3 linked regions of the Drosophila melanogaster genome follow. The protein of the gene in region 3 interacts with the protein of the main gene of each other region in a pairwise test. Each region holds a gene or a part of one and is shown on either strand. Other genes may lie near its edges.

Region 1 (3,757 bases), about 15 Mb from region 3:
GGCTACAACGACGCCCTGACCGATCGAGTGACAAAGTACGACTAATATTGGATCTCAGGAACTTCGGTACTGCCGGCAGCTATTCGACCAACCAGTTGGGTCCTCTCTCCCTCTCTCTCTCGCTCTCGCTGTGTGTCTCTGTCTCTTCCTCTCACCTCACCCACTCATGCACACGCTGCTCACACGGACAGGTGAGCAGTGGAACGAGCCAATTCCAATATCAATTCCAGCTCCAAACGCCGCTTTGCACAGTGGAACATCATGGCCAAAATGGTAGCTTTTTAGCACAAATATTTTTTGTTTTTTCTACAAGATTTGTCCCAATGTTATTCCCGTATAATGATATCCAAAACGTATATGAATTGTGTTGTGTCACTTTTGTCAAAGTATAATATAAAATGATATACAATAAGCTTACTTTAAAATGTTTTTGGCCCAAAGACGCTACAATTACGGTTTAATATAAAATAAACAAATAAAGGTTATTTTAAATTATCAAGCAAGAATGACGTGGCATTGGGTTCAATGGGAATATTTTTTGAAATAGGTTTTTGTTAGCAAAAGGTGAAAAGAAGTTTAGACGCTTTTCAATCTGTTAATTGTTTGGAAAGGGGAGAAACGGTTGTTTTGATATTGTCGCAAGTGCCAAGCAATGCGACCCACTGTGCCGCAAACCTGCTTAACTCACAACACACGCGATGCGGCGGCTGCTGCTGCTGCTGGTTGTGGTGCCGCTGGTGGCGATGGTGCTTCTAGTCCTCCTGCCTCACTCCACACACAGGTAAAGAATGGAGGCAACGGCTCCAAGTTGCTCAGCCGCATTCCACGAGCTCCAAACTGAAAGGTTGTTGTCGGTTACTACTGCGGTTGCCTATGCGCTTGGGACGGCGAAATTCGCCATTGGGTGTTGCAAGCCGCTTTCAATTCAAGTTCAAATTCGCGCTTTAGTAACAAAATTCACTTATAGTTAGATTAACTCAGTTTTGGCGCTTTTCGTATCCAAATTCACTTCGGTTGGATTCAAAAATAAGAATTGACCGCCAACGCTGCCAGACTGCGTCGAACTGGTCGACAGTGTTGAAAAGTTCGTAAACTGGCGGCAAGAAATCGATATAACTAGTTGAAAGTGTCAATAGTAGTGGAGCTGGAGTCCAGAAAAATATTTCGAATTTAAAATAGATTTAATAAATTGGAATTATTCGATATAACATTGATATTAACCAGGGGGAGCCCTTTTTTATGCTAAGGGTAGTATGAGATATTTCATTTTATACAAGTTGCAGGATTATAAATACGTTTTAAGACATTACGATAGGTAATTGCCAGCTGTTAGTTTGATCATATTTAATGCTGCAGGACTCCTCGAACTTTAATTATGTTAAGTAGCTATGTATGTTATGTATTTGTTTGGCCAAAAATGTTTCAAAAACTCGAGGCTTTTACATAATTAGTTTTAAATATTCCGTACTAATTATCAGTTGTTATAACGTATATTTTTTTTAGGTTTTTTGAATATTTTGAACGTGAAGTCAACGTGTTCAATTAAACACTGCAGAATTTTTTAAATCGCGTGTTTTCAGATTAACACGTTAAATGTATGTTCGTGAATATATCGTATCGATATTCGTGCTCGTGGTTTTGCCATCCCATCTCCAATTTGATGAACATATTTTTCGACGACTGCGATTGCAACGCACTGCCAAAGAGAAAGAGACATGACTGATCCTAGCAAGCTCGCCGTCGCCGTAGTCTGTTCCTCGAACATGAATCGCTCAATGGAGGCGCACAACTTTCTGGCCAAGAAGGGTTTCAATGTGCGCTCCTACGGCACCGGCGAGCGCGTCAAGCTACCGGGCATGGCGTTCGACAAGCCGAATGTTTACGAGTTTGGCACCAAATACGAGGACATCTACCGCGACCTGGAGTCCAAGGACAAGGAGTTGTGAGTTATTCGTTTTTCCGGCCTACCGTTGGCTAATCCCTGCCCTTTCGTCCTGTTTACAGCTACACACAGAACGGCCTGCTACACATGCTCGACCGCAATCGTCGCATAAAGAAGTGCCCGGAACGGTTTCAGGACACCAAAGAGCAGTTCGACATCATCGTCACTGTGGAAGAGCGCGTCTACGACCTGGTGGTGATGCACATGGAGTCCATGGAATCCGTGGACAACCGACCCGTGCACGTTCTCAACGTGGATGTGGTGGACAACGCTGAAGATGCGCTAATGGGCGCCTTTGTCATCACAGACATGATAAACATGGTATGATCATCTGTCGTCCATTCCCTCAATTCGCCCAACGATTCTTGTGCCTTTGCAGATGGCCAAGTCCACGGACCTGGACAACGACATCGACGAATTGATCCAGGAGTTCGAGGAGCGCCGCAAGCGGGTCATCCTGCACTCGGTGCTCTTCTACTGACGACCGACGTCTGCTAACAGTTCGTGTCCAGCTCCAGCACCAACACCAGACTCCCGTAGCCCCGACGCGCTCCAGCCGAGTCACTCGATCTTGTACCCCAGGGGCTGCGATCGCAGAGCATAGGACGTCGGGCATTGCGCGCAGCGCGTGCGGATCCTGGGTTCCGGATTGGTAGCCTAGCATATAAGAATACTGTAAATAGAGAGGGGCCATCGCTGCAGCGAAAGCACATCCAACAACGACCAGCACCCACACACTCGCATACTCCAAACACCTGATTCGTAATCCACATCAACACCACACATGCAAGCAACTGGCTAATGAATTGGAATATAACACACAACCAATGACGACCATTTCCACACGGCTGCCCCCCAAAACCCCTGTAGTAGTATGTGTACGTGTCCGTATTCCTTGTAATTTCGCCCGTCGACTGGGGGTCTTATCACAGGCTCTCGCTTCCCTCAGCTGGCGAAGGCGCCGACCATCTGACTCCGACCCGTTCTCCCGTTCGGCCGCTCTGCCGCTCTCTTCGCCCGGCTTTGAGTCCGATTCGGACTCAGATTCGGATTCGATTCACATAAAGTGAAATCTCGCATCGTGATTGTGTGAATGAGCATGCACGCCAGAGAGCCACACAGGGGCGGAACGGTCTGGGCCCTCGCGGGCAGGGGCCGCGTTTTTTAATTTTACACAGTTTTACCAATTGTTCAGACAGGGCAAACCCGACCGACCTTGGTTGGGGCTGTGCGTTTTAAACCAAAGGCAAAGGCCCGCAACGGGCGCTAGCTTGCAATAGAAAATAAACAACAGGGGAGTTGTGTTCACTAAGGATTGGAATAAAAGTGCACGCCAATTTATGCCGGTTTCTTGTTGACGGCCTGTGTCACATTTACCCTGCGACCTCAAACCTGCCTAGGTCTTCTCTTCGACGGAAATACCATTGATTACGTCTCATCCCACTGCTACCTCGGAGTTCACCTTGATCGGACGCTGAGTTGGAAAGCCCTTATCACGGCTCCTGGAAACTGAAAAAGCTGGACTGGGTTTTCCACTCAAGCAAACTCCATATGGCAACTAAGGCTCTCTTAATAAAAGCCATATCCAAGTGTGGGGAACAGAGTATTAGAGTAAGACAATCGGGAGCGGCACGACATGCATCTGGGCTACATGTGGTATGTGAGCAATAGAGTTATTGAAGGGGACTTAAAAGGTGTCCCATTGGGGTACCAAATAAACTTCCATAGCAGCCGATATGCCGACAGACTTAGCGCCCACTTAAACACGTTAGCGAATGATCTTGTCGACCCTATTTCCCTCCGATGTCTGAAGAG
Region 2 (3,757 bases), 4.0 Mb from region 3:
GAGTATTTTCATTTTCAAATCGGTTTTTTACTTGCTTTGCGTTTTTTATTCGCTGACGCTGAAAAAGGCCGAACTAAAAAAGATACAATTTTCATGTTGGCAGTTGTAGTTTTTATTCGTATGTAATGAAATTTACGCGTTAGTTACTTACATATACTCCAAAAGATAAGACCTATAATTGTTAAAGTCTTATTTCAATTTTGGTTTTTCACAATTGAAATTGAAGTGAAAAAAAAAACAAACTTCCTATTGAAAGTTTAAATTAACTATTTGTAAATTGTGTAAGTAAATTACAGTTTTTGTCTAACTAAAACTTTTTCATTTGCGCGCAGTTTTTGCCTCCGTGAATTTTACTCCAAAAACATTTTACATTTCCCCGCAACATTTTTCATGAAAATTAGGTTTTTGTTTTATTTCATTTCGGGCTCTCTGTACAATTTTTTTTTCGAGATTTCCCGTTCGTTGTGTCCGAGTCCCAATTTGTGCGCTAAGCTTTTCCCCTCGAAGGGTAATTGCCTCATGTTTCATCTACACATCAATTAGCCGCAACAATTTAATTTGCCCGCCTGGAAATGGGAAAAGTGCGGTAGCTGGATAAAAAAAAAATAATAAGCACACAGCAATTTCAACAAGAAAAATCCATAAAATATTTGTGCAACATTTTCTCGCCGCCCAAACCTGCGGGCCGTTAGTGCGAGTGAGATGGCCAAACAACTGTCGTCAGCTATTTCAAATTGTCATAAAAATTTGATAAGGTTTTTTCCGCTGCTCCCCCAAACCACCCAACTCTGCGAATTTTTATTCCTGCGTCAGCTACAAGGCAAAAATATAACAGAAAAAAATGTTTGGGCACAAAAAGTGTTGGTTGCTCGAAAATATCATTTACAGTTAGACTGCCATGGTAGAGAATTTATAAATAAGCTAATTAATAATTATAAGCTAGTTGAAAATTAAAACTAACAAAACCGCTTTGCAAAACTAAATCATAATTATAATAGCTATATCTATTGAAATCATTTATTAAAGACCTCTTTTGAGCAATTCTTAGCCCACGAATAGCAAACTAGACTTTAAACCCAAATCCACCTTAAGTTTCGATTCTTTTCGCCTCACTTTGCGTAAATGATAATTGAACAATGGGGGCCGCCCATTGGGGCGAAAGAGAGGGGGCGTGCCAAGTGTGAGTGGCTGGCTCTCCCCATCCCTGTCGCGCTTTCGCCGCTGGTGTTGTGTGTGCATGGCAATTTGCGACGCAGAAGTAGAAGAGGAGGAAGCTAAAGAAGAAGCAGTAGCAGCAGTAGCAGCAGCAGTAGCAAAAGTAGCGGTACTGACCAGCGTCCTTTAAACGCCCGTCGCCACCTACCCCCGTTTCCTTATCTTTCGCTGTTAGCTAACAAATTTTTGCGTTGTTTTCGCTGTCTTGTCGTTTTCATTAAAATTTCATTGCTGCCGCGCAAAAATACGAAGGTACGTTGTTGCTTTTTTTTCCTCCTTTTATGACTATGTATTTTTTGCTCCTCGTTTTTTGCTCTTGTGGCAACAACAAAGTTGTTGAACTGAATTTTTTTGGGGTGTGGTCCCACACTCAAACGCACACCAGCAACGTACACACACGCTCATACACGCGCGCACACACACGCGCAGCAGCAACAACACAGCGGTAAATACAGCTGCTCAGCAAACGGTACCACCAGCAGTTGTCTCGCTCCCACTCAGTCAGGTTGTAAGCGGCGTGCGAGAGAGATGCCGCAAGAGAGTGAGAGAGAGAGAGAGAGCGAAATACTGAACGACTGGAACGGAGCGAAACTACGGCTATCTCACTCTGGCGCGCGGTAGAGAGCCGGGCAGCCATTGCTAAAAGCAGGCACTCACTCGCTCTCCCTCTCGTTTCCACCACCGCTGGTGTTTGTTTGTTGTTTTTTTCCTGCTTCTTCTTCCAACATTTTTTCTTGTTGTTTTTCTTTTTTCGCAGACTCTGGTCGAACGACTTTTGCTCTGCCCGCTGCTCGCTGCGCTGCTGCCGCCGCTGCCATCGTCCGTGGAAGGTGTACCGCAATTCATTTCCAGAGTAACTTTCGTGCCGCTCGGGTTGTTTTTGTGCGTCGTCCGTCGCCCAGTTGCTCAGTTGCTCATTCGCCCCGTTCGCCGCTCGTTCGATCGCTCTCGCCACTCGCCGCGTTCGCCGATAAGCAAGCAAGCACCAGCGCAAGCCAATAACAACAATCAATTCGCCGTCGCCAAACCGAATCAAATCAAATCGAAGCAAACTAAACCAATCAAACACAAATAAACAAATATCAACACGAGAAGCTATAGCTAACACAGCTATAGAGAAACAAAGAGCCCCAGAGGAGAATACTAAGTAATACAGAGAGATATATCCTTTTGGATATAACGCAGTGCCAAGTGACGAGAATCTGTTTTTTTACCGTGTTGCCAGTGCTAAACCATAAACATCGCCCAAAAAACATACATCTCTGGAATACAATATTTATATATATATAAATATACATATATATCTTTATATATATGCATGTGTAAAATATACTCATGCCATAACCATATAGTAGTTGGATCCGAAAACAAGTCACCATTGGAATACAGCACCGTTTTGCTTCTAGTTTTGTTTGTGTTTTTTTTTCGGTGAGTGCGATCCGCCGATATCGAGAAATCGGTAGCAATCTATATATCCAGCAAGGAATGTGGAGCCGAGAGATAAGCACGGATTACATGGGGAATCTGTAGACCTAAGTAGTTTTTGGGGGAGCGGGAATCTATCTTAGGGATTACTCTTATCAACTTGTTTATTTAGCAGAGATATTAGGTCACAAGTCTTACATTATCTATGACATATTTGAAATACACTCTTTAAACTTGGAATAATATTGAAAGATCTAACACGCTGTAAAGCTTAATTATTTTCTTTTTCGTTATCGCTTCAACTTTATTCTTGAGCCAATCTTCATTCTTCATTATAAAGCTCAGACTTTAGAGATATGTTATAATATGTTTGGTTCACTATTTTCGATTAGCCGAACTTGACAGATCTTTTGTTTTTCACTTACACTTCTACATATATTTACAAGGTTAAAATGTTCTTCCAAATGCTATAATCAACCGATATTATTTTGCCACATATACTAGTCTTTATTTAGCTTCAGATTCAATGGATCTTAGAAGTCTTTAATTGGAATACTATTCATTGATTTCGGGGACTCCCAAGTCCAACAATAGAGTTACCTATTCCATGCCCGAAACTTTGTTTCAGTTCCTTCAGCTCTTCGTGATATGATGGAGCCTTTTTTTTAAAAATCTGGTTTCGGTCAGGAAATTTCCGCCTATGACTAATGTGCTGATCGTAATGTGAGAAAATGCGCGTTTCGGAGATTCGTTATGATTTTCATAATTTTAATGGGCATATTAAGGCCGCCTCCCCTAATTAGGCAAAACAAAAAGAAGCCAGCAAGAGCCGACCAAATCGATACGAGAAATGTGATATAGAAAAAAGGCTAACAAAATGATAGGGCCAACGGCGAAGAAACCCCAAGAAAATCAATACTAGATACAATAGAAGACAGCCGACGGACCCGTTCGGGTCACATTATTCACACATATTCCCAACATCCCCACATCACCACATTCCCACTTCCCGATGTTAGCGATCGGATCGTCTAATTTCAAAGCGGCGGCTATAAATTAAAATATCTGAATAATACGTTGACTCCTCGCTGGCTACTTTGTTGTTCTGCTTTATTAT
Region 3 (3,757 bases):
ATTGGCAACAATTTTGATATGAAATTGCATGAGAGAAGGCACAAAAACAAATACAAATACAAGTATATTATATTCTCTTTTTTTCGTATGATTTAAAATCTTTATGCCAACTAACTGCTTTCTTTGGGTTGTCTCAACTGTAAGATGGCTTAGTTTCCCAGCTATTTCTTGCTCACCTTGTTCCCGCCACATGGCGAAATGTGTGGCGATGTATCCCTCGCGTATTGCCCGCAGGACATCCTCATCCTGATCAGACCAGAACTGCTTCTGCTTGACGATCTCGAGCATAAGGTGCTCCTTGGCGAAGAGCGCGGCCTCGGGACCGCCGTGTCCGTCGTAGATGCCAAAAAATGCGTATTCCAGTTCGTGGGTGATCGGTGATTCCTGGTAGGCCACCGAGAACTGATCCTCCATGTATTTCCGGCCTCCCTGGCAGCATTGTCCAGTTACGCGCATATTGACGCCCAGGGAGGAGCACGGCGACGGATTGCCGGTGGATGCGCTACTTCCTGTAGCGGAGCTGGAACTGGAATTACTGTTGGAACTGCTGCTCGAATTGGAATTGCTGCTGCTGGCACAGCTCTCTGGAATCGATCGCGGTGGAACGATGGCCGCCGACCGGCGTAATCGACTCTGTGCCGCTCCGCCGCCCCTCGAGCGATTTATTGTTGTGGTTGTTGCTGAGTTTAAACGTTGTTTCTTTGGATTTAAAGGCTTGGCTGGTGATCCCCCCTCCATATCGACGACTATATCCTCGGCATATGCTTCCATCTCGGTGAACGCCAGGTCGGGAATGGGTATGCTGATCCTCTCTGGCCTTTGCTCCGGCTCTTCCTCTTCCTCCTGTGCGACTCCTACCGCTGCCGGTTCAACAACAACAACATCACTGCTGGCATCCAGTGCTGGATGGCATGCACTGTTATTGTTGTTATTGCCGCTGCTGCTGCCGCCGTGGCGAGTAACGGAGGCTGTGGCTGGAGCTGGTGCTGGAGTTGTGCCGCCGTCGTCCCCATAATAGTTAATAATATCAAATTCCACGGACGACTCATCTGAGTCCTGGAAAGTACCGCTATTCGCTGCCGTCTCTCGCAAACGGACTACCGTTTTTTCGATGGCCGTATTGATGAGGCATCTGTTGGTGGTATTGGTAGTGGCGTTGATTGTGTTGGCATTTGTGTTGGTATGGGTGCTGGTGCTACTCCTGTTATTGGCGGGCAACATCTTCCTGCTTCTCCCTCTGTTATTTTTTGTGGTTTTCCCCCGAGTTTTGTTTATGCTGCCTGCTGCTGCTTCTTCTTCTTCTGCCTTTTAGACTTCTCCGTCTCGCAGTGTTGTAATTTCCGTTGACATTTGGCACTCTCACACACACGTACAACGCAACACAACACAAAAAAACAATAAAAAATATATAAAGTACAAGAAGAAAAAGCGACTCAGGCCTTTCTCTCTCCCGCTCTCGCTCTCGCAGCCCTCGCTGTGACGGGCAGTGCAAGCGGGACGACTATCTATATGATGTATGTAATTTACGTTCGCCAACGAGCTTGCGTGTATGCGTGCTCCATCTAGCGTATTTAGTATTTTGTGTTTGCAACTGGCCGCCAAAAACCGATGAATTTCCTTTAATTTGCACCAAATCGAGGATTTATGAGTAGATTGTGATTTCTGCTTTTGCTTACAGCAATAACGTTAAAAGACATCGGTCTTTTATCCTCGATGAAAGACTTAATGACCAAGGCGCGCAGTTTTACCTTGATGATTTGTTGTTCGCCAGCATTTTTTGCCGTTCGATTCTGCTCTCGACTTGCGAACACTTTTCTTTTTTTTTTATTTTAATTTTTTTGGCTGTCAGCACGTCCACATCCACACACACAACAAAATTCACGGCAAATTGTTTAACAAAAATTATGTTGAAAAAAAAATCAAATAGAAAGCGTGTGACCGTTGTGAAAGTAGGTCGAAAACACCACGCTCCATAGGCGATGTATAATGCTGGCAGCACACCAATCGATAACAACGAGGACGGGGTTGCAATCGATGAATGTATTGAGTGCATTATTTTTAAGATTTTCGTAATTTATACACTTATTATAAGTTGTTATAAGTAAGTTTTCTCTGGCAATTAAAATTTGTTCTAACATTTAAAAGCAATAAGTTTAATAAACAATGTCTGGTCTCCATAATGAATTATGATAATCATAATTGAATTCACAATAAGCTGTTTAAAAAAAGGTAACGATTTTCTTATTGCACATCTCATTCAAATACATTCATATAGCTAAAGTCGTATGTTTATAGCGATATATATGAATACCACAAGTTACGGATAACTAACGAGATTATTAAGAATACAAATATTATTTTGGGTACTGTATATTTTCAAACGTTTATATCATTTTATAATGCATTTTTTGACAAACATATAATTATAAATGTTTTCATTTATAAAAAAAACTAATTGTATCATTATTATTTTACATATGCTTATTTTAAATTAGTTTATTACTTGACGCAATAAGTATGTCAATGAAAAAAAATTTGGAAACAAACTGGTTGTAATTTATAACATTAAAGATATGTTTCATTATCCGTCTCAGCTTTTATATTCTCGTCAGTTACATGTCGATTTCTTTTGAAACTATGTTGCATCATACAAAATTTAATCGAATGTACAATGTATGGCTTGGATTTCTTTAACATTATTATTGTAAATAGTTTTAATTACTTGCAATACAAAAAATATGTTTTTTTTATCGAAACACCGCTAGCCAGCAATAGTAATTCTTTTATATAAAATTAAAAAAAAAAAATGTATACATAGATGATAAAATAAATCGAGTGCGTGCGATAAAATAAATTGATATTTGCGATAAGCTAAATCGAATGCACCCGAAAAGTCAGCTGCTTGTATCGTTTAGAACTCCTATATCAGTGATGTCCGTCTTTAAATTGCATTCAATCGAATATTGAATACCGGTTATCGAGTGCAGGATTTCAGAGAACATATTTGACTTTCAACAGTTTTACGCGGATTTTAATTCCATACTCGACAAAATATTCCCCCGTTACTAGTCAATTATTAGCATCCCTACATCGGTAAGTGTTATCGAATCGATAATAAGCATCACTGGTGCCAGACGTCGCCCGCCAAGCGTGGCCTGCCAGACGCGGCCGTGTTCTGGCCAATCAGAGCCGCCTACGACTCGTATGTTGGAGCTCGTCGTCCGTCGTGTGATTAACCGAAGTCGAAAACCGAAATAGAAGCCGTCACTCAGTTAATCACCAGCAAGCAAAACGTTCAGTTGTGTTTCAGTTGTCGAGAAGTCAGGGTGTTTCTACCTTCCATTTACCGTTCCAGTGTAAAATTCAGGCGACACGCTTAGCGGTAAAAAACCCACACATCCACGCACAATAAAGTATATTGGGGCAAATGTTTTTTCAACCCGGTTCCTAGAGATCTTCTGAAAAAACAATTCCCTATCTACTGTTCTTTTTTTTCTCGTTCTCTGTTCTCAAAGTGAAGTAGCCGCGGCGTGCTAAATTTGTATTGCGTGCAAAATTGTTAAAAAAAAAAATAAACCGAAAGAGAAATAAGCAAACACATACACACGCATTCCGCATTTTTCCTGCCCACAACTTTTTTTTTTTAAGTTCAAATTTGGTATTGCATTAGAATTTATTTGGTGACAGCTGTTGAACTATGAGTGAAAAAATCGCGCGCAATCAGGAAAAATTAAAAGGTAAGTCATAGAAAATACCT

Evidence for each region.
Region 1: the proteins of Pp2C1 (region 3) and Ssu72 interact in a two-hybrid assay, tested with the Drosophila melanogaster proteins (one large-scale study listed by BioGRID).
Region 2: the proteins of Pp2C1 (region 3) and oc interact in a two-hybrid assay, tested with the Drosophila melanogaster proteins (one large-scale study listed by BioGRID).

What each region holds. Positions count from the first base shown.
Region 1 is NC_004354.4:19,662,931-19,666,687, forward strand, and holds the start of Ssu72 (Ssu72 CTD phosphatase), read left to right. Parts: upstream 1-1,630; 5' UTR 1,631-1,715; coding exon 1,716-1,942; intron 1,943-2,004; coding exon 2,005-2,263; intron 2,264-2,321; coding exon 2,322-2,423; 3' UTR 2,424-3,757.
Region 2 is NC_004354.4:8,648,980-8,652,736, reverse strand, and holds the start of oc (ocelliless), read left to right. Parts: upstream 1-2,055; 5' UTR 2,056-2,362; exon of another isoform or gene 2,363-2,643; intron 2,644-3,757. UniProt on the Drosophila melanogaster protein: Transcriptional regulator involved in pattern formation and cell determination in the embryonic CNS and larval imaginal disks.
Region 3 is NC_004354.4:4,684,936-4,688,692, forward strand, and holds the start of Pp2C1 (protein phosphatase 2C), read right to left. Parts: upstream 1,969-3,757; 5' UTR 1,222-1,968; coding exon 177-1,221; intron 1-176.